Ovis aries: one gene and its partner. The protein of the gene in region 1 interacts with the protein of each later gene in a pairwise test. Links are inferred from orthologs where the notes say so. Each region holds a gene or a part of one and is shown in the gene's direction. Other genes may lie near its edges.

Evidence for each region.
Region 2: the proteins of SRC (region 1) and RARA interact in a two-hybrid assay, tested with the Homo sapiens proteins (2 studies listed by BioGRID). The link is inferred for Ovis aries from reciprocal best matches to the Homo sapiens genes SRC and RARA.

Annotation. Positions count from the first base shown.
Region 1 is NC_056066.1:66,268,987-66,279,823, forward strand, and holds the start of SRC (proto-oncogene tyrosine-protein kinase Src), read left to right. Parts: upstream 1-4,207; 5' UTR 4,208-4,559; intron 4,560-10,837. UniProt on the Homo sapiens protein: Non-receptor protein tyrosine kinase which is activated following engagement of many different classes of cellular receptors including immune response receptors, integrins and other adhesion receptors, receptor protein tyrosine kinases, G protein-coupled receptors as well as cytokine receptors.
Region 2 is NC_056064.1:40,319,212-40,329,459, forward strand, and holds part of RARA (retinoic acid receptor alpha), read left to right. Parts: intron 1-3,791; exon of another isoform or gene 3,792-3,893; intron 3,894-4,138; 5' UTR 4,139-4,488; coding exon 4,489-4,666; intron 4,667-10,248. UniProt on the Homo sapiens protein: Receptor for retinoic acid. Retinoic acid receptors bind as heterodimers to their target response elements in response to their ligands, all-trans or 9-cis retinoic acid, and regulate gene expression in various biological processes.

The DNA of each region.
Region 1 (10,837 bases):
TAAGGCTTAGCCAGGGGCTGGAGGGGAGAGGGCATTCCAGGCAGACGGACCAGAGCAGGCGCTTCAGGGTGGAACAAGCTGCTGTGATAACAGGGAGGCAGGCTTCCCATAGTCAAAGTCATGCTTCCCATAGTCAAGGCTACGGTTTTTCCAGTAGTCATGTATGGATGTGAGAGTTAAGACTCTAAAAAAAGCTGAGCGCTGAAGAATTGATGCTTTTGAACTGTGGTGTTGGAGGAGACTCTTGAGAGTCCCTTGGACAGCAAGGAGATCCAACCAGTCCATCCTAAAGGAAATCAGTCCTGAATATTCATTGGAAGGACTGATGCTGAAGCTGAAACTCCAGTACTTTGGCCATGTGATGCAAAGAACTGACTCATGGGGAAAGACCCTGAAGCTGGGAAAGATTGAAGGCAGGAGAAGGGGATGACAGAGGATGAGATGGTTCGATGGCATCAGCGACTCAATGGACATGAGTTTGAGCAAACTCCGGGAGTTGGCAATGGACAGGGAAGCCTGGTGTGCTGCAGTCCATGGGGTCACAAAGAGTCAGACGCGACTGAGCGACTGAACTGAACTGAACTGAACTGATTGAGGCTTCCCAAGAAAGGCCCGAGCAGTTAGCGAGGCTGATGCACTGGACATCTCTGTGTAAACTGTAAATTGTAGCGCCAGGAGAGGTGCCAAACCCATTTCACAGCCTCAGGCCAGAGTCTGTCTTCTTTTCCACCTTGTCCTGTAGCCCTGAGCCTGGTTCTTCGAATTGCAGCAGACTATCTAGGGAATGAGAGGGCGGGTCTGGAATTTCCCACCCAGCGCCTGGGATGGGTCAGCTTCCCAGTGGCTTTCCAAGGATGTGCTGGGCTCAGGGTGGGTGAGGCGAATAGCCTGGGGGAGGTGCAGGCAGTGCCCTGATCCCATCGCATGGGAAAACTCTTGCCACAGGTCTGCTGCCAGCTGTGAGGAGACAGGCCTCACCCCATATGCTTTATCCTGCCCTCAGTTGTGGCTTTGACCCAAGTTGGGGGGAGGAAAAGAGAGGAGGTTTCCAGAGACAGAGAACTGTATACAGCTGGTGCTCACCATCTCCACGGTGTTGACATCAATAACATCTGTCATCTGCTGGGTGCTTGGGGTTGGGAGATTATCCCTCTTGGTGTTCCAGGCCTGGCACAGGGCTGGGTATATTATCGGTGACCAGTGTTTGCCGTTCATGGACAAAGATGAATGATTGGCAGGTATGAAGCAATGAGCTGCTGTTTTACTAACAATCTTTTAAGCAAAATAATATACAAAGAGTCAGTCACCAGTTCCCCAGGCCAGACCAGCAAGCAGCTCTTGCACCTGCATAATCCTGGTAAGGGTATTGCTCCCAATTTATTGATGAGTAAACTGAGGCTCAGAGAGGGCAGGATCACATAGTCAATGAATGAAAGAGTTAGAACTCTTGTATGTATATCCCTAATCCCAGCGCTCTCTTGGCCAGAGAGTGTCGCTTGGCAGTGCCTGCTCTGTGCCAGGGGACAGGCCAGAGTCCCTGCCCTCTGGGTGGGGACAGACACTCCCAAATGGCTCGGGGTGTGCCTCCAGCAGAGGATTGTCAGGAAACTTATCCTGGAGGAGGCCACACTTACTTAGGACCATGATGGACAGCGAGGGTCGGGAAGCTAGAGAGGTGGGGCGAGCATTCCTGGTGGGGGTTACAGCCTGAGTGAAGACCCAGAGGGGTGGTTGAAAATAACGAACTCTTCCAACGCTTAATCATGAAACCACCGTGCTGGCCACATCCTCCCAAAAGACCTCCTGAGAACCTCAGTGGCTGAGCCAAGCCACTGGTGGCTCCAGGTGGAAGGCCACATATGCGCTCACAGAGCCAAGAGGGGTCCCAGCTGCCCCCTCTCCTCCAAGACAGTGGTAGGGTGTGAAAAGGGCTGAGACACACTGAGGGAACATCGCTTCATTTCACGTTCACGTGAGTCTTCTGAGGGGAGCGCACTCTTTAGCTCCTTTTGCAGGTTGGCATAGTGAGGCTCAGAGAAACTCTGCTCCCCTCAAGGAGAGGTAACCATGGAGTGGCAGAGACGGGACTTGAACCGAGGTCTGTGGGTCTGAAGTCTATGCTTTTAAGCACTCTTGTTATCCAAGCTTTAGAAGAAGCCCAGAACTTTCGACTGAACTCCTGGGGATGAATTTAGTGATGGGCTGGTAAATATTTAACAACTAGCTCTCTGGACTTAAAAAAAAAAAAAAAAGCTTTGATTTGTCGTGTCTGCTGGTTTCTGCGGTGTTAAAAGTTCCACTTCTGCTGACGTCAAGCTACCAGGATGATATCACTGAATGTGGAGTTGGGAAGAGATGAACCCAATCTGCTTCTGCACGAGAGAAGAGCCAGCTTCAGCACACCACTGGATGAACACCCCGCCCTGAGCCCAGGCCCCCCAGTAAAGGCCTGCAGGCCTGTCTGAGGAGTGAATGACGGCTGAGAAACCTGCTCCTCCAGGTAGGGCCCCGCCCAGCATATCCTAGGAAGCTGGGGTTAATCTTTAAACCAGCCTTGCAAATACCTGCAGCCATTTCACCAGCCAGGGTTGGCTTCTGGTGCTGGCTCTCTTGCTGACTTGCTGTGGGACTTCAAGCAGCCCCTTCCCCTTCTGGCCTCAGTTTACGGACCATAAGCGCTTTACCTTTGTTGAGCACAACCTCGCCACCCTCACTCTTGTCAGTTCTAACCTTCCCGGAAGTTGTCTGTGGACATGTTTACTCCCGTTTCATAGGCGAGGGGACCTGGGCTGGGGAAGGTGATGGACTCGTAGAAGGTACAGCAGCTGGGCAACCAGTCTAGATTTGAACCCAGATCAGTCCAGCTTAAGGCCTTGCTCATTCCTGGTCTCCCAGGTACTGTACTGTACCCTGAGGCCCTTGCCTCCCACAGTCTTGAGTTTCCCTCCCTGCTCCTCTCAGGAGAAGTCCAGGCTTCTACCATTTGACCTGGACTGGGCTTTACTTTCCCATCTGTGAAATGGGAAAACTTTCAGAGAAGGAAAACAGAGGCAGATGGTGGCATTTAAAGCTGGATTCAGGCCCACCTTCCCCTGTGCAGTAATCCCAGGAGGACCTGTGAAAAGCCAAAGGCAGGACTAGCACATGTGCTCAGTTGCGTTTGACTCTTTGCAATCCCATGAACTGAAACCTGCCACCAGGCTCCTCTGTTCGTGGAATTTTCCAGGCAAGAATACTGGAGTGGGTTGCCATTCCCTTCTCTAGGGGATCTTCCCGAGCCAGGGATCGAACCCACGTCTCCTGCCCTGGCAGGCAGGTTCTTTACCACTGACTATAATTGCCACTGAATACCTGCTTTGGCCCCTCCTAAGGGGCTTACTCAGAGAAGGCAATGGCACCCCACTCCAGTACTCTTGCCTGGAAAATCCCATGGGCGGAGGAGCCTGGTAGGCTGCAGCCCAAGGGGTCGCTAAGAGTCGGACACAACTGAGTGACTTCACTTTCACTTTTCCCTTTCATGCATTGGAGAAGGAAATGGCAACCCACTCCAGTGTTCTCGCCTGGAGAGTCCCAGTGATGGTGGTGGAGCCTGGTGGGCTGCCGTCTGTGGGGTCGCACAGAGTCGGACACGACTGAAGCAACCTAGCAGCAGCAGCAGCAAGGGGCTTACTGGAAGCCCTTTATAAGTTCCTTATCTGGAACTTATTGGCTTCTTAGTTACTTTTTTTTTTTCTTCTGATGCACTTTAAAATGAATGCATAGCTATTAAGATAAAAATGCTGCTCCTTACCACACTGTCCTGCCTGTCTCAGTCCCCAGTTTGGGAAATTCAGGTTAAGGCCAGGGTCCAAGACCTGGCTTTTGTCAGGTGAGTCCCTTCTCTGTGCCTCAGTTTCTTCATCTGTAAAATGGGGGTGATCATTGGCCTGCCCAGCCCACTTGGTTGGTAGGAATAGATCCTAAAGTTGACCTGAACAGCTTAGCATGGCACCGGGTAAGGAATGAGTTCTCCATCAGTGCTGCTGTTACTGATTATCAGTAATAATTTCATGAGAGGTAGACTTGGGGTCAGTTGGGTGGGTGGGTTGGGAGGAGTTGGGGAGGGTATTTTGGCTTGAGAGCTGATGGGTGGGTGCCCCATGGGAAGGGAGCACTCTCAGGGCGGGGTAGGGGGCGGGGCTTCCGTGGCCGGAGCCCCCGCCCTTCCATTCCCTGGCCGCCGGGACCCCGGGCGTGGGGAGGCCGCGCGCGGGACTCTCCCAGGTCACCGGCGGGGACCCGTCCCGGCACGCTTCCTTCTTCCTCCCCCTCCCGGCGGCCTGCCGGGCCCCTCCTCCCTGCTCGCGCGCTCCCTCCCTCCTCTTCCCCTCCCCGGGCCGCCGCCTCCTCCTCCTCCTCCGCCTCCCTTTCTCTCTCGATCTGTCTCTCCTGGCCCGGAATCCATTCCGGCCCGGGAGCCGGAGCGGCCAGGCCGCCGTGTGCCCGAACCCCTGGCCGTCCGGCGGTCCGTCCTCCAGTGCGTCTGTCTGCCCGGTGCGTCCGTCTGCCTGCCGGTCCAGGTGAGCGCCCCCCGCCCCTCCGCCGGCCCCGGCTCCCGGCCCGCGTGAGGGAGCCCCCCGCCCGGGGACCACCCTGGCGTCCGATCGCTGGGCCGCGGGGGCTCCTGCCCCCCTCCAAACCTCACCCCTCGAGCCAAGCGGCGATCCCGGGGCGCAGGGCGGGCGCACCGGGACTTGTCTGGCGCGGCCTTTTGTTGTGATGCCGCGGGGGGGGGGGAGGGGTTTGGTGGGGGGCGTAGGGGTCTTGTCCTCGCGAGGACCCCCCCCTCCCGCTCATGCTCCCTCTGCGGGCCCCCTGAGAGCAGCGAGCCGGGCCCGAGCCCCCAGGCCAGGTCTAGGCCAAATCTGAAATCTGAACCAGTCGGCGCCGCCTCTGGCCGCCGCTACCCAGCCTGGCGCCCCCAGCCCGGGATGGGAGGTGGAGAAGGGCCGGCAGGGTGGGCCTGGGGGGGCGCCGGGCAGGGGGTGCCGGGCCAGAACACCAGGATCTCCTTGTCCTCGTGGGGCCTTGGGTAGGGCCTGGTGCTGCCGGCCTGGAAAGGACTGGGCCAAACTGTGGTTGGTCCCAGCTGCCCACAGCCCCCAGCCTCCTCTCTGGGCAGGCCCTACCTCCGGTCTGCTCAGAAGTTGGCAAAAGTTTAAGATTTGGCCCCCAGGCCGGGTCCATCTGCCTGCCTGGGCTGGGGTTGGTGGTGGGTTTGAGTCCCAGTGGGGGCTCCGCTTTCCTGCCCTGCTGTGCTTCCTTGAGCAACTGCCTGCCCTCTCTGAGCTGGGGGCCCTTGTCAGGTCCAGCTGTGGGCCTGGCTGAGCCTACTGGGCTGGTGGAAGGACTGGGTGAACAGAAGGGGCTCACCTGTGGGGTAGCAGTTCAACCTCTGGGGCCTTCAGGCGGACTTGAGAGTCGGCAGAGCCTGTGGGGCCCTGGGTGAGGTGTCCCCGGCTTCAGGGACTCTGTCCAGTTGGGGCAGTGGTCTCTGGATCACCTGGGGTGACTCCAGGCCTGGCTTCAGTCAGCTGAGATCAGACTTGATTTTAAGAATGGAGCAGGCTGACGCTGTTGCTGACCCTCATCTTGGCTTTCTGGCTGGAGAGACAAGACCTCGGCTTCTGGTCACACTGGGCTACCTGGGCCAAAGGACCGCCCCTCTGAGTCTGCTTGTGTGCGGTGGGGATCCCCAGGGGAAACCTGTAGGCACTTCTGCAGGTAGGGCCTTGGCATGTAGTAGGTGTTCAATAAATGAGCATGGCACTGGATGAATGGCCTGAAAAAGATGGGCATGAGATGAGATGGCTGGCTCTTGTGGGGCTTATTCCAGAAGAGGGTGGATCGGTGTCCCCAAAGCCACCTCCTAACCCCTTGAGGAGGAACCAGCCTCAGTGCAGTCTTGCCACCCAGCACTTGAGACAACTCGCTTCTCCTTCTGGCCTCAGGTTTGTTCAGTATAAAATGGGCTTGTGAGAATGATAGCTGCTAACATCTATCGAGTACCTCCTAGGAGGTAGGGACTTTTGTGTATCCCCTTTTTGCTGGGGAAGAAACTGAGGCTCTGAGAGCGGAAGTGACTTGACCGAGCCACATAGTTTGAAGCTGGAATGAGAGCCTAGAGCTCAGAGTGCCCGGTCGGGCTGTCCTTGTTCCCTTCCCGTGATGGAGGAATGGGTGTTTCTCAGTATGGGACCAGGCACACGACAGTGTTGGAAGAGACTCGGATGAGTGATTGTGTGGATGCCACGAGGCCCTTTGGGTGAGGTGGTGTGCTGTGGTGATGTGGTCTTTCCACCCAAGGAAATGATTTACAGTGTGTCACCTCTCAGCTGACTGCCTGCCTAGGCCCTCCTGTGTGACTCCAGGGCCTTTGCTCCTGAGGGTTTCCCTGCCGGGAGTGCCCTCTCCTCTAAGAGCTGCTTGTCTGCTTTTGCTCTTTAAGGCTTCGTTTAAGGCCCACCTCTTCCAGGAAGGCCTCCCAGCTTTCTCCTCCTCTCCCCTAGCCTCTTCCCAGGCGTGAAGTATCCCCAGTGCATAGCCAGTTCCTGCTTTGGCTTCTACCCTGATTGTGACCTGACCTGGGAGTGGTGGGGTGGTGGGTGGGGGGAGGTTGTCTGGCTCCCTCAAACCCCAGGAGCCAGGAAGGAGACGGCTCAGTGGCCTGTGACCAACCACCCATTCCCTGAACCTCAACTGACCCCATTTTCCCAAACCTGCCGAGATACAAGCATCCATGGCCCTGTGTTGAGTACCTATGATGTTCTACGGGCTTTGATCTTGAGCTGAGCAGTGTGTGATGGGTTAGCAGTGGGAGCTGTAGGAGACCTTGGGAGGCTTCCAGGAGGTGGTGACAGGGGCGGGGGGCGGGGAGCAACATTTTCCTCAACAAAGAAGGGGACACAGTACTCTTTTCTTCCTTTCAGCTCAGACATGTCCCAGGGCCCCTGGGGGAGGCTCTGGGACATGTGTGGGAGTGGTCAGTTTGGGTGGGTCCTTGCTGGGGAATTGTGAACAGTCCTGGCTGCCCAGAAATGTAAGTCTAGAGGGTGAGCCAAGTATAATAGCAAACAAGTTACCAAGTAAATGAATATATAATCACAGATGTGATAAGGGTTGAGAGAGAGGTGTGGGGTGCAGAAAAGTCGTGAAAGAAGCATAGAGGAGTCCGCCAGGCGTGGAGCTGGGGATAGGGCTTACCAGGCAGAGGGAACTCATGTGCAAAGGCCCTGAGGTGGGGAGTGTGTGCTGTTCTGGAGAAACAATGGGAGAGCTTGTGAGTCTGGAGCACAGAAAATTAAGACGAGCAGATGAGAGGTGAAACGAGGGGATGTTATCAGCAGGGCTGAGCCATGTGGGGCCACATGGGCCTTGGGAAGGAGTCTGGCTTCCATCTTCGCACAAGGCGCCAATTGGTGTCGCCTGTGTGAACAGCTCCAATTTGGGGACCAGGGAGGTCTGAGCTGACCAAGTCACCTGGGAGAAGTAAATCTGTGGGCTGGACTCCACGTATTCTGTGGGGGCGTAGATCAGGTGTCAAGAGGAGGAGGCACTGGAGGCTGGGCTTTGAAAGTAGAGTAGGAGTTCTGTAGCAGGAAAGCAGGAGAGGGTGAGAGCCAGGGTAGGGGCAGTGCCATGCAGAGTGGCTGGATGGAGGCTGGGAGCAGGAAGCAGTTGGCTGGGGAGCTGGAGACTAAGGTACAGTAAGGGCTCAGGAGTCAGACAGGCCTGCATTCAAGTTCTGACCATGCCTGCTTGCCAGGTGTCCTTGGCTCGTTCATCCTGTCTTTCTGAGACTTAGCTTCCTTGTCTTGAAAATGGGAACAGTAAATATCTCCCTATGGGGTGAGGGTTCAAGGAGGGCTGTAAGCCTAATGCTTGGAACCAGCAGGTCCTCAGGGAAGTGGGCCCTGCCCTGTGCAGTGTGAACACTGGGAGGGTTAGTTGCCTCGATGAGTTGACCCCTCTGCAGCTGTCCCATGAAGGCTTCAAGGGAATGGGCTCACTAATTCTGAAGGTGCTGGCCTCAGAAAGGATGTTGGTGGCCAAGGCCGTCCATATACTGGGTGACCGGAGTCCTGCTTTGCCCTGTGTGTGAGGAGGCTGAGTTGGGGAGAGCTCTATGGGTCCAGCTTGTCCCAACTTTTGGAAACCTTGCCTTCAGTGATATTAGCCATTTTTCTACCTGTGAATACTGAGACCCGGAGGGGGAAGACACTTGGTAGGGTCTCCCAGTTGCCAAGTGACAGAGCTGAACCTAGGCTTGGGGCTCTGGGCTCCTAGTCCTAAGAGACCCTTCAGAGGCCTCCGCCCCCTGCCCTGGGCCTTTTGACCAGAGCCTCACTTCCTGCCTTAGCTGTGTGGCCACCCAGCCTCTATCTCTCCTGGGTTCCCCCAGCCCTTTACTTCCCCTCCGCTGCTCCTCCCCACTTATCTCCATGGTAAACCACTCTGGTCTCCACTTGAGCCCCTAGAGGGTTGGGGACCGCTTCCTTTGGGGGCACTTCAATTTCCTCATCTATGAAGTGGGATGGTATGAGTCATGGCTCCTGCGGTGTCCCAAGGGGACTGAAATAAAGCGTTTACATTAGCTGGATGAATGGTGGGAACAGCTAGATACATGGTCAAGTCCATCGTTTTCTGGCAGCTGACACCCCCTTCCTGTGACTCAGTTTCTAATGCTGTAAAATGGGCATGGGGCTTGCACTTAGTAGGTCCAAAAGGAGGACGAGGTGAGGCCATAACCTAGGCTCTCACCTGGTGGCTGGCTCTGCATCACTATTCCTGGGGGGGGGGGTGACCCCAGAGGTACCTCCCCTGTGTTCAAGGCCGGGTTCCCAGCTGTCTGTCCAAAGGCAGATCACTCAGCCTCTCTGAACGTCACCTCCCTCCTTAGGATTAAATCAACAAATGTCTCTCAGCACTTGAAACTACTGGATGTCCAGTAAATGTTACGTCTTTCTTTCTCCCTTCTCCTCCCTTGCGCACATGCTAAGTCACTTTAGTCATGTCTGAGTCTTTGCAACCCTATGGATGTAGCCTGCCAGGCTCCTCTGTCCGTGGGATTCTCCAGGCAAGAATACTGGAGTGGGTTGCCATGCCCTCATCCAGGGGATCTTCCAGATCCAGGGATCGAACCCATGTCTCTTGTGTCTCCTGCACTGGCAGTTGGGTTCTTTACCACTAGCGCCACCTGGGAAACCCTCCCCTCCCTTGGGGAGGACTCATATGTTGCCCAATCTAGGGATGGCCCTGGGACTCAGATCCCCCAGACCTGGACTGCTCTGTTAAAAAACATGCTGCGGCCCAGTCTGAGGCTTCACGGGAAAGGGTGCTGTGATAGATTAATAATGTTAGATATCACTGTGTATGTGCCATGAGTTTGTCTTTCCTGATCTATTCTGAGCTTCTCTTTTTACAGATGGGGGAATTGAGGCCAGAAAGACGCAGGACATAGTATTCAAGCAGGGTGAAAAATGCACATCTCCTATCTTCTCATCCAGGGCTCTCCCCACCCAGCCAGCTTGTTCGCAATACAGCCCCACAGTACAATGCCGGGGTCGGGGAGGCTGAGTCAAGGAGTAGATGCTTGGGGAAGATCCCAGAGCTGGAAGTCAGAACCCCAATTTCCCCGCTCCTTGCTGCAAGACCTTGAGCAAGTGACTTCCCCTGCAACCTGGGCCTGAGTTCCTCTCCTCCTCTTGAAACTGTCCAGCAAAGTTCCAGAACAAAATGAGAAGCCAGAGAGGAGAAGTAGTCCAGTGATCTTGTCCAGGCCTCTTTGTGCTCTGTTCCTTGGGTTCCTCAACTGTCTGGTGAGGGCTCTTCCCTCCTGAGGTTCTGAGACAGGGATCCTAGCAGGGGGTCTCCAGGGCCTGGCTCCGGCCGTGTCCTTGTTGATGCTGGGTGGGCCTGGGGATGTCAGTGGGGCTGGGGGCTGTTGAGAGACTGTGGGGATGGGTCTTTGGGGTCCTCAGACCTGCTGGGCTGTGAGGCTGGTGCAGGTGGACTCCTGCGGCAATGGGATGGAAGTCGGGGTTGGAGTGCCGTCCGGAAGCTTGGTCTGCTCTGTCAAGATCTGCTGTTGTGTCCGACTCTTTGTGACCCTACGGACTGTAGCCCGCCAGGCTCCTCTGTCCGTGGAATTCTTCTGGAGTGGGTGGCCATTTCCTTCTCCGGGGGATCTTCCCGACCCAGGGGTCGAACCCAGGTCTCCTGCACTGGCAGCAGATTGTTTACCACTGAACCACCTGGGGAGCTCCTCTTTCTGGCTGTTTTATCCAAATTCTCGGTCTTGACTTTTACTCTATCTGATGTCAATGTCCGGGTCACAGCAAGGTGACTCATTCCATCCTTTGTGTTATCTGGGGGTGGGAGGAATTTTTGTTTTTATTACACAGAAGAGGAAACTGAGGCTCAGAGGGGCTAAGAGCTGGAGCCACAATCACCCATCAGAGTGTGAGCCCAGATTTCTGGCTTCTGGTTGATGTGTAGCATCTGAGTCCCACTGAGTGAGAGCTCAGCTTAGCTGAGGTCTTGCCCAAAATAGCATGGGTGTGTGGCTGGGCTGACAGGCGATCCTGCCTCCCTGGGCTTCCGGCTCTGGCTGGTGGATCTCCACTCAGATCTGGAGTCCTGGCCCTTGCAGGGATCTCCCAGCTCCCAGGATCAGCATAACATGGGTGCTCCACGGACACTACTTCCACTCAAATTTTTGGAGTGAATGGGTTCCGGGTTCAAGTCCTGGCTGTGCCCTTGTTTGCTGTGTGTGATTGCGGGAAATGGTGCCTCTGAG
Region 2 (10,248 bases), on another chromosome or scaffold:
GGCACTGTGCTGGGTGCTTTCCAGGACTTTTATCTCTGAAATCACACAGCCAGTTGTTGAGGTAGGCAGTTCACAGGCGAGTAAACAGATGCTTGGGGAGGTTAAGTGACTTGTCTAAGGTCACCCAGAGTGGCAGAGCTGAGATTTGACCCTTCAAAACCTTTGGTTCTTTCTGCTGTCTTCACGGCTCGGCCACCTTTTGTCTCTCTCTAGATGTGAGGCTCTGGGGACCTAAGGAACTGGTGGCTGGGACTCCTGACTCTGGGGAAGGGGTCCTGGCACCTTTGAGGGTGGGGGAGTCCCCAGCGGGCAGGGGTGCCTGGCTGGTGGTCAGCGCTTCGACCCTCCTGCCACCCCCTTTGTGCTGTGCTGAGGCTGAGCTCGGTGTATGGGAGGTGAGGGCCTGTGGTTTTTCCCTCCCTTGAGGGAGGGTGCCCGTGGGCAGTGGAGGTGACAGGCACAGGGTGGAGGTTGGATGTGGGTAATTTGTTTTCCCTTTCTTTGGTGCTGGTTTCGATTCTCTGACAGTGTCTTCTCCACCCCGGGTGCCGGGGGCCAGGGCCCAGGCATCTCCCCGAGGGTGGTCACGGTTCCAGAGAAACCTACTGAGGCTGCGCCTGGGCTCTTTGACCCCACCCTCCTCATCCCTGCTCTTGCCCATCCCTGTTCCCTGGCCAGCCTGGCCCTTGGCCCATTTCTGTGACCTTTACCCCGTCCCTTGACTCAAGGCCTTCCCCAGGGAGTTGAGTAACTTTGCATTGAAGTTTGCAGGCTGAGCTCCTTTGGTGAAGCTCTGATGGGGGTGGGGGACGCCTTCCAGCCTCTCCCTGGGGTGTGTATCTGTGAGTGAGGTTTGAAGTATGGTCCAGTTTCAAACTTCTCAGGGGCAGAGTTGAAGCATATTAAGGTGGTTGTTGTTAGTCTCTCTTTTGGGGTAAGGGTGGGCTCCAGAGGGTCCAGACTGAATCCGCCCCCACCCTCCAAAAGCTGGGTCAGGAGGCCTGGAGTCTGGAGTGAATGGCTTCCTGGGCTTCACCTCCGGAGGTAGCCCCCCTGTGGACCTGAATCCACTGGAGTGCTTCTCTATGTTTGTGGACCCTGCTCTGTTGGGGGGCTGGCCCACAGGGAGGCAGGTGCAGAGGCCAGCCTGGCTGGGTGAGGACCAGGGAAACCGTGAGGCTGTGGTTGTGTGTCTGTGAGGAGTTGTGTCCTGGGCCATGCATGCAGACCTGGAGCCGGCTTCATTGTGTGTGGAGCCTAGGTGTGGGGGAGCGTGTATCTGGGTTCCCCCTCCTCGTGTGCCATGTGCATGTCTGCATGCACACAGGCTGGGTGTGCAAACGTGCCCTTGCCCACCGGACACTTTCCCTAGAACTGTGTGTGTAAGTGCCTGCAAGTGTGTGTGTGTGTGTGTGTGTGTGTGTGTGTGTGTGTGTGTGTGTGAGTGAGGGTCTGACTGTCAACACTACTGAGGCTGAGCCTGCCCCTCATTCTTGTGCTAGCTCGAGTTCCCCTGTGTAGGGCCCCTCAGGGGTGTGTAGGGGGGCCAGGTCGGCAGCTGGCCCAATGGGTGGGGCCCCTGTTCCTCTGACATCAGCCTGTCTGCCTGGGAGGGAATCGGCGGGGGCCTGGGGAAGGAAGGGGGCACCTCATTCAGGAGTAAGAGAGGCCCTGAGGAGGTCATAATTAGTAACAGTAAAAATCATGGTCATTAACAAGGTCCAGATTTCACTCCTGGGGAGCTGCCCCCCTCCCTTGCAAGTACCTGTCCCCACCTCCCCCCTCAGCCCCGCACAGTCACAGGCTGGCTGGCTCGTACAGCTGGGCCCAGAAGTCCTGGCCTCGTCCACAGTGGCCTTGGCAGAACTCCTCCATCTCAGGCATCGTTCTTGGCCAAATGCTGGCCATGTGCATGTCCCCTGGACTCCAGGTCTGAGCCTGGAGCCTGGAGCTTGGAACATGGTATTATGGCCTGAGCTTGGAGAGGAAGGGGTTGGAGGCCATCCTTATTTTGAGTCTCTGTGGCCCTGTTTTCTTTTCTTCTCTTTTCTCTTCCCTTCCTCCCCTTAACAGCTTTATGGAGATGTAATTCGTGTACCATAAAATCCACCTAGTAAAGTGTACAATTCAGTGGTTTTACTATAGTCACAGAGTTGTGCAACCATCACCACGTTCACTTGTAGAAATTTTTCATCACTCCAAAAAGAGCCCCCATACCATTCAGCAGTCACTTCCCATTTCCCTCAAACCCACACCCACACCACCCCCCCACCCCGTAACTAACCACAATCTACTCTGCCTTTTTAGATTTGCCTGTTTTGGACATTTCATATAAAGGGAATCATACAACAGGTGGTCTTTTACAACTAGCAGATTGTTTTCAAGGTTTATCCGTGATGTAGTATGTGTCAGGACTTTGTCCCTTTTTAGAAAATATTCATGTGTTTGTTTATTTGGCTGCGCCAGGTCTCGGTTGCGGCACTCGAGATCCTTCATCTTCGTTGCCATGTGTGGGATCTTTAGCTGCGGCATGGGAACTTTTAGTTGCAGCATGTGGGATCTAGTTCCCTGACCAGGGATCAAGCCCAGGCTGCCTGCGTTGGGAGCGCGGAGTCTTAGCCACTGACCACAAGGGAAGTCCCAGTGCCTTGTTCCTTTTATGGCAGAATACTATTCCACTGTATGGATGTTCGGCATTTTATTTATCCATTCATCTGTTGATGGACATTTGGGTCGGTTCTACTCTTTTGGCTATGAGGAGTGTTGGTGTGAAGGTTCGTATCCAGGTACAGGTGTTTGTGTGGACTTAATGTTTTACCTTCAATTGGGTAGATACCTAGAAGTGGAATTGCTGGGTCGTATTACTCTGTGTTTAACCTCCTGAAGAACTGCCAGGCTGTTTTCCAAAGCAGCTGTACCATTTAACATTCCTGCCAACTATGTATGAAGGTTCAATTTCTCCACATCCTCACCTACTTATTATCAGTCTTCTTGATTATAGCCATCTTGGTGGATGCAAGATGGTATCTCATTGTGGCTTTGATTAGTCATGTTTCTCTTTTCTTTTTCATATATGTCACAGGTGTGTGTATGTGTGTGTATACACACACTCATATATAAATACATGCATGTTTATTGATATTCTTCATATATATCCTCCTGGCCCTCTTGTGGATGCTTCTGTCTCTCTGTCTCTTTCTTTACTCTTGTTGCTGCCTGTCTGTCTCACTGTGTCGTGGAATTTCTGGGTTCACCTCTGTCTCTTGCTACCTGCGGTGTTATCTTTGTGTATCCTCAGGCCCCAGCTGTTCAAACAGGGTGTGGATCTGTGTATACACTGATGGTGGTGGGGGCATCTGGGCTCTCATCTTCTGCTCACCTCCCACTCCCTCCAGGGAGGTTGCTTCTCCAGGCAGAGGATGTGGGTGAAGTCTGAGCTCAGTTTCCCTTGCTTCTTCATCGTGGGCGAGGGGAGTAGGGGGCTTCCATGCTAGGTAGTCCCCTGGCACACTCTCCACCCCCAGCCCATCATGCTGTTAGGCAATGGAGATGATACTCAGGAGTCCTCAGCTCCCATTTCCCTATTTGTAGGTATGTAAACGGGCCTCCTCCCTGGGTCTGTGGGACAAACCCATCTGGGGTGCTCAGGCTTGGATTTGGGGGGGAAGTGGTGTAAGTAAGGCCCCCTGGCTTAGGAGTCATTTTTCTGAGAAGTGCCAATGCTTTAGGGAAGCGGCTTTTCCTCCCCCTCCCTCCTCCTCTCAAGCACACGTTCTCTGTATCTTGACCTCAGGTAACCTGCTTTGGGGGAAGGAGGGCCAGCTGCCTTTCTCTGCTGCAGGAATCCTCTGGGGTGGCATGGCAGCGTGGACGCTTTGCTCTCAGGACTGTGGGTGAGAGGCCCTCCTCGCTCTGGGCTCTGTCCCCGTCTCCCCAGCCTGGCTGTGCTGTCCTGCCGCCCCCAGCAGTGTCTGGGCCCTACTCCCAGGCTGTTTCTGCCAGCCAGGCATGGTGCCAGCTGTCTGCTCAGCCGGGTGCCACGGGAAAATCTCCGGCCGCCCAGGTTGGGGAGCTCCACGGGGAATGCCCGTGAGCCCGCTCCTCGGTGTCCACTCACCTGTCTTTTCTCTCTCTGCAGCATCACAGGACATGGCCCCCACAGCCGCCTAGCCGGGGCCCACCCAGGAGAGGCTTCCTTTTCGTCATCCTGAAGGCCTGCTCTGGACCTTCCCGGGAAAGTGCCAGCTCGCAGAACCGCTTGACTAAAGGACTGGCTCTCGGGACATCCCTCAGCCCACCGGCTCCCCCTAGAGTGGGGGTGCCAGGAGCCTGAGATTAGCCCGCTGGCCTTGGACTGCAGCTCCGGGACAGAAGGGGGGGTGGGCTGACCACCCGAGCCCCCTCTGGGCCCAGGCCCCATGCCCCGAGGAGAGGCGGCCTGAAGCCCGCCAGACTGTCTGCCTGTGCTTCTGACTGTGGCCGCCTGGCATGGCCAGCAACAGCAGCTCCTGCCCAACACCTGGGGGAGGGCACCTCAATGGGTACCCGGTGCCCCCCTACGCCTTCTTCTTCCCCCCCATGCTGGGTGGACTCTCCCCCCCAGGCGCTCTGACCACTCTCCAGCACCAGCTTCCAGTGAGCGGCTATAGCACGCCATCCCCAGCCAGTAAGTGGGGTCGGGGAGTGTTGTGGGAGGGGGCTGTGGAGGGCGGCAGGCCCAAGGCTGGGCCTCTGGGCACATCTCTTCCTCAGCGGCCAGGTCTCCTCCAGACGGGGGGGACCTGCTGGACAAGCGGGCTTGAGGATGAAAGGCCAGTAGGCTAATCGCCGTGGTTGTGTTTTTTGTTGGGAGGTGGCACGGAGTGTGGAGAGCTGAGACAATGCTGTCCTCTGGCCCCTCGCGCCCCCTCATGTGCTCTGCCGTTGAGGGCCTTATAAATAGCTCCAAGCACTGGACAAGGAGGCTGGAGTTGGGTAAACAAACCTCTCGACATTTGGTGGGGATGGCTGGTCTGCTGAGAACAGCACCCCACCTCCAGCCCACCCCATCCAGTGCCTCTGAGAGAAGGGACTGGAGTAGCACCCCCTCCCCTCACTGCTGGCCAGGCGGGGTGGTGCTTCCCTTTGTGGGGAGGGCGCCGGGGCAGGAGAGGGCCCCACAGGCAGCCTGGGGATGGGGGGAGAGTCCGGGAGGGGACACAGGCCTGGACTCTGGCTGTGGCCGCAGGCCTGCTCTTGGCAGGGCCTGTGTTTTCTCTCCGCCTCCGCCGTCTGCCATGGGGGGTCGCCTGTTGGCTGGGTGGGGGTCTCGGTACCCTTCCCTGGCTGGCCGAGCCAGGTAGTGGGAGGTGGCGGCACTGAGGCCAGCTGGCAGAGTCCAGGCCTCGGTCCTGCCAGGCGGCTTACAGTAACTCTGGCCCCCAGGGCCCAGCTGGGCGCCAGGCCAGGGTTTGGGGGAGGAGGGAGCCGGGGCCTGGCCTGGGGCAGGAGGGGGTGGAAGCCGTAGAAGGGGGCCATGGACGGCGGACTGGCCTGGCCGGTCAGCTGTTGACCTGGGAAACGTGTCCCACCTCTCCTGGCAGGCAGGGACTGAACAGCCTGCCCTGGGCACCCACCGCCTCTCCCATGCCACTGGCAAGCTGCCTGGCACCGCTGCCCTGTGCGCCTGGCTGGGCTGGGTCAGTGCCCCCTTCCCAGCTTGGGGGTAGCGCACTCTCCCCGGAGCCAGGGAGTCTCTTTGTCCCTGGGGCAGGCCCTGGCTGGGCGCCTCACTGCCCGCACTGGCCGGCTGCCCACCGCCACCACTGCTTCCTGGCTCGCCTCCTCTGGCTTGCTCGGTGGCCCCCTCCCTCTCCAGCCCCACCAGCCGCTGAGAGCAGGGGCTCTAAGTCTGTGTTCCTTTCGGTCCCTACCCTCTGTGCCCCGGGGAAGGGGGCAGGCGGATGCTGCCTCCTCAAACCTCACCTTCTGTTTCCTCCCATGGAGGGGGCACAGCGGGCAGCATCATGACCTGGGAGTCAGAATGATTCTGGCCTGGTCTTCAGTCTGTGCTCGGTGATGGGAGAGGCCAATCTCTGAGTTAGGGGATGCTGGAGAAGGGGCAAGTGGGTCTGGGGTGCCTGGGATCTGTGTGGGAACTGGAGTTCACATCCCAGTTCCAGGAACTAGAGTGTCTTGCTTCCCGCCAGGGTGGGGTTTTTAGGGAGGGAGAAACCGAGAGCGCTCAGCCTGGTGCTGGTGGACAGCTTGCTCTTCCCCAGGTGATTGGGAACAGGGCCCTGGACGCTGTCCCCCTGGGGCCTGGCTCACGGAGGGCTGGCCTGACCCCTGTCTTGTGCCGGACAAGCGAGTGTTTTGCTCTCCTTTTCGAATGTTGCAAGCTTCTTCCTCTTTCTTCGAGGTGGGTGGGGAGGGTTTCCGGGTACCCCACCTCCTACCCTGGTAACCTTCTTCCCCCAGGGTGGGGTGCCCACATTTCTGGTTAAGCAATGCCCCTTCCTGCCCCCCTCCCTCTGTGAGCCAGTGGGTTTCCCTGCCTCTTCCTAGTAAACAACAACACCTCTTTTTACCCAGACCCCCAGCTTCTGAGCTTCTCCCTGACCTTCCTTCCCCTTAGGTCAGGAACCTCCCCATCCACCCTGAGGGAGCCAGGCATCTCCCTCTTTCTCGTGGAAGGCTGTGGGACCTGGTAACCCTGGCTTTCAGCTCTGCGTAGTGCAGCATGACAAATCAAAGTTCAGACCTGGAGGCAGCCTCACTCCCCCCACCTGAGGGCCAGTGCTGGGGGCCAGGCATTTCCCAGGAGGGTGGACAGCTGTGGCCCCCATCCCCACCAGGAGTGATTATATGTTCTGGTCCCCTGCCACCCATTCTGCAGGCAGCCTGGCACAGGAGGCCCCCTCCTCCCACTTGCCGCCAACAAAGGTGTTGTCCATCCTTCCATCCCTCTCGCCAAGCTGGGGTGGGGGGAGGCTGGACCCTGGGTGTGCTTCAGAGACTCAGTGGCCTGTGGAAGGACAGAACTGTTCTCTAGGTCAGTGGCGACGGGTGGGTATTTGTCCTGCTGTTATCTCTCTCTCCCGGGAAGCCAGAGTGGGAAGTTCCAGGGATGGTACGAGATCTCCCCCTCCAAACCAGTCCTGGAGGTTTGGTCTCTTGAGGACTGGTATTTACTGTGGAGGCTTGGGATTCTGTGTGCCTTGTGGGGAGGGTGATGGTTGTGTGTGTTTTGGGAGGGAGGTGAGGGTTGGGTGTGTTTTAGGGGTGGGGAGGTCAAGGTTGGGTGTGTGCTGGGGAGGGGGTCAATGGCTTAAAAGTATTGGGTGAGAGGGTCAGAGTGTGTTTGAGGAGAATCAGATCCAGAGTCGGGAGGGGTATCAATGTGTTTGTGTGCTGCAGGGGGAGGTGACTTAGGGCACTGAATGTGTAAGGGGGAGGGGTCTGTGATTGTGTTGTGTGTTTGGAGGGGGAAGGGTCTCTATTTCTTATCGCTAGTCTAGGCTGGAGAGGAAACGCACCTGCCTTTTTTTATTGCTTGCCCTGGGAATTCCATGAGGTAGGAGGGGTTGCTGTGGAGTAGGCTGTGTAGCTTGAGTTCTGGCTTTGCCATTTACTAAGTGTGACAACCTCTCCGAGCGTGTTTCCTCGTCTGTAAAACAGGGATCTAAGCAGAACCTCCCTCAGACGGCTGAGGTTAGGCAAGATCGCCGACGTAATGCACTCTGCTCCTGGTCTTGCATGCGCTCATGGCTGTCTCGTGGTACCCGGGTGTTATGACGGGAAGAGGATCGTGACCCTTTTCTGGGTGGGAGCTGGAGAGAATGGGATGCTAACATCTGTGGAGCGCCCACTGTGTGCCTGGGACCTTATCTCTGTTTTACAAATCTGAATCCCGACAATCTGGGAGAGGGACATTATCTCCCTTTACACCTGAGGAAACAGCGCTGGTGGTTACGTGGCTGAGCTGAGTGACCCTACAGCTGGGCTGTTGTCTGCCATCCAGATAGGCAGCCCCGGGAGGGTATGGTGGGGAGCCCTGGGTATGAGGAGTCTGGGGGGCGGATCAGGGCCATGGTGAAACCCCCGCTTCCCTGGCTGAAGGTAGGAGGAAGCCCCGCTTCTGCTTCAGGACCTCCCGGCTTCACCCAGCAGGGGGCGTAGGGAAGGCCTCCCCTAGCCACGCCCCTTCTTCTGTTTTTGATCCTGAAGGCTGGAGGGAAAGAGCGATAAGAGGCCTGGGCCAGATCTCCATCCTGTCCTGGAAGCTGCGGATACAATCTGTTCACACCCGTCCCCGCCCCCGAGTCAGCCCACTGCAGCCCCGGGAGTTTGCAGAGCTCAGCGGGCCAGCCTCCCCCCATCTCCAGACAGACACTGGAGGAACCGAGTGTAAAAGCCACATTCTTTTTCTTATTTTGTTTCCATTTGTGGAGTGGGGGCAGGGAAGCTGGAAGCCACGGGGAGAGGAACTGGGGATGGGAGCCCCGAAAGACCGGGTCCAGACTTTTCGTTTCCATCCACACATTTGCTATGTATGCCTAGAAACGGGGGAGCGGCTCTACGGTCTGGGGGAGCCTGGGGAGACTTCCTCTCCTCTGCCACTCCCTCTCCTGCCCACTCTTTCCCTGGACAACAGGAGAGAGCCCAGGGGGAGGGGAAACTGCTAGCAGTGCCCTTCCTGGGGTCCAAAATGCAGAGTCAGCCGAAAGACTGTTGGATGGGGTTTTGAATGAAAATGGGGCCCCCTCACCTTTTATCTCGAAGCACTGGTAGTGCACAGACCCTCTCAGGGCCAGATCCCAGCATGGGCTGGGGGAGGGGACTCCGGGACGGAAGCCTGTCCTCTAGGCTGGCCCAGACCTGAGACATAGTGTGTGCCCATGCCAAGGGCCCTGTGCCCATGGGGATGTGCCAGTGCAGGCCTGACCACCCTTTGAGGGGTAGTGTCTGTGGAAAGAGGAAATGTTTCCCTTCTCCAAATCACTTTGGGGTGGTGCCCACAACGCCTTCTTCCTCCTCTCCCTTTTCAAAGGTGGGGCATAACCCATGGAGTCGGACCTCCCAGGGTAGACCAGAGGCCCTCAGCTCTGGCTAGATCAGAAATAGAGGTCCTCCCCTCCCCATTCTTACTTCTGAGTTGCAGAGAATCTCAGCCCACGGACCAAGGCCCCTTTGGCAGAAGTCTTTAAAGGACAGCTCTTCCCGTGTGGCCGGGGGCAGGTCACTCAACCTCTTTTGAGTCCATTTCCTCTTTAAATCAGGACTCCTAATCTGTTCCTTGCTGGGGCAGGCTGCTAGGAGGCCATGGTGACCTGCCTGCTGGTGAGGGCCTGGGCGAGCTTCAAGTACCCTGTAAAATCAGTGATGATGGGGTCGGGGGGAGTGGGGGCATGGAGCTGGTATTGTCTTGGGGGATGGCACCCTGTACTGGGACCTGATGTCTGTCCAGCTCCTGGGTCTCATTATTTCCTGTTTGTTATCCCCTCTAGATGGGGTCGGGGACCAGAGGGAGCCGCGCCTGGGGGGAAAAGTGGGGGCCAGTTCAGTTCAGCCCACACCTGCTGAGGGCCTGCTAAGCACACAGTGCTGGAGGAGTTATGGGGATGTGGCAGAGGAGGACAGGGGCCCCAGACCTGCCGCTAGGCCCTCCCCACCTCCCCTGCTACCCCCTGTGGCCAGCCAGAACCTGCCGGAACCTTCCTTTTCCCTCTTCTCCCATTGCCCCAGGACACTGTGTTCTACTCTGACCTGCCCCGTGACCTTGCTGTTGCCCAGAACAGGCATCTCACCCTGATTTCTCCCCTTCTCCAGCTCCGGAAATCCTATCCATCCTTCAAGGAACATCTTGAATACCGCCTCTTCCCAGAAACCTTCATAGATGTTCCCTCTTCCTCTCTCTCTCTCCACCCCACCCCCACCTCCTTTGAATGCCCGCAGGTCCTTATTTTTTCTTCTATAAAACTCATTTCTCTCCCACAAAGGGACTCCTCTCCACCTGATACCCACCGTGAGCTATAATCATTTGGGAGATCTCTTCTCGATCACCAGGTCTGCGGTGGCAGGGACAGTCCCTGATTCTTGAGCACCTCAAAGCTGCGAATGCAAGGCCTAGCACATAACTGGTGTCATTGGGAGGAAAGATACCAAGGGCCTTGGAAGCAATCTGCCCTCTTCCCCAGCAGTCTCATCCCCAGCCACGGCTTGCATCTGTGCTGTAGGTCCCAGCTTTCCTTCTGCAGCCCAGACACC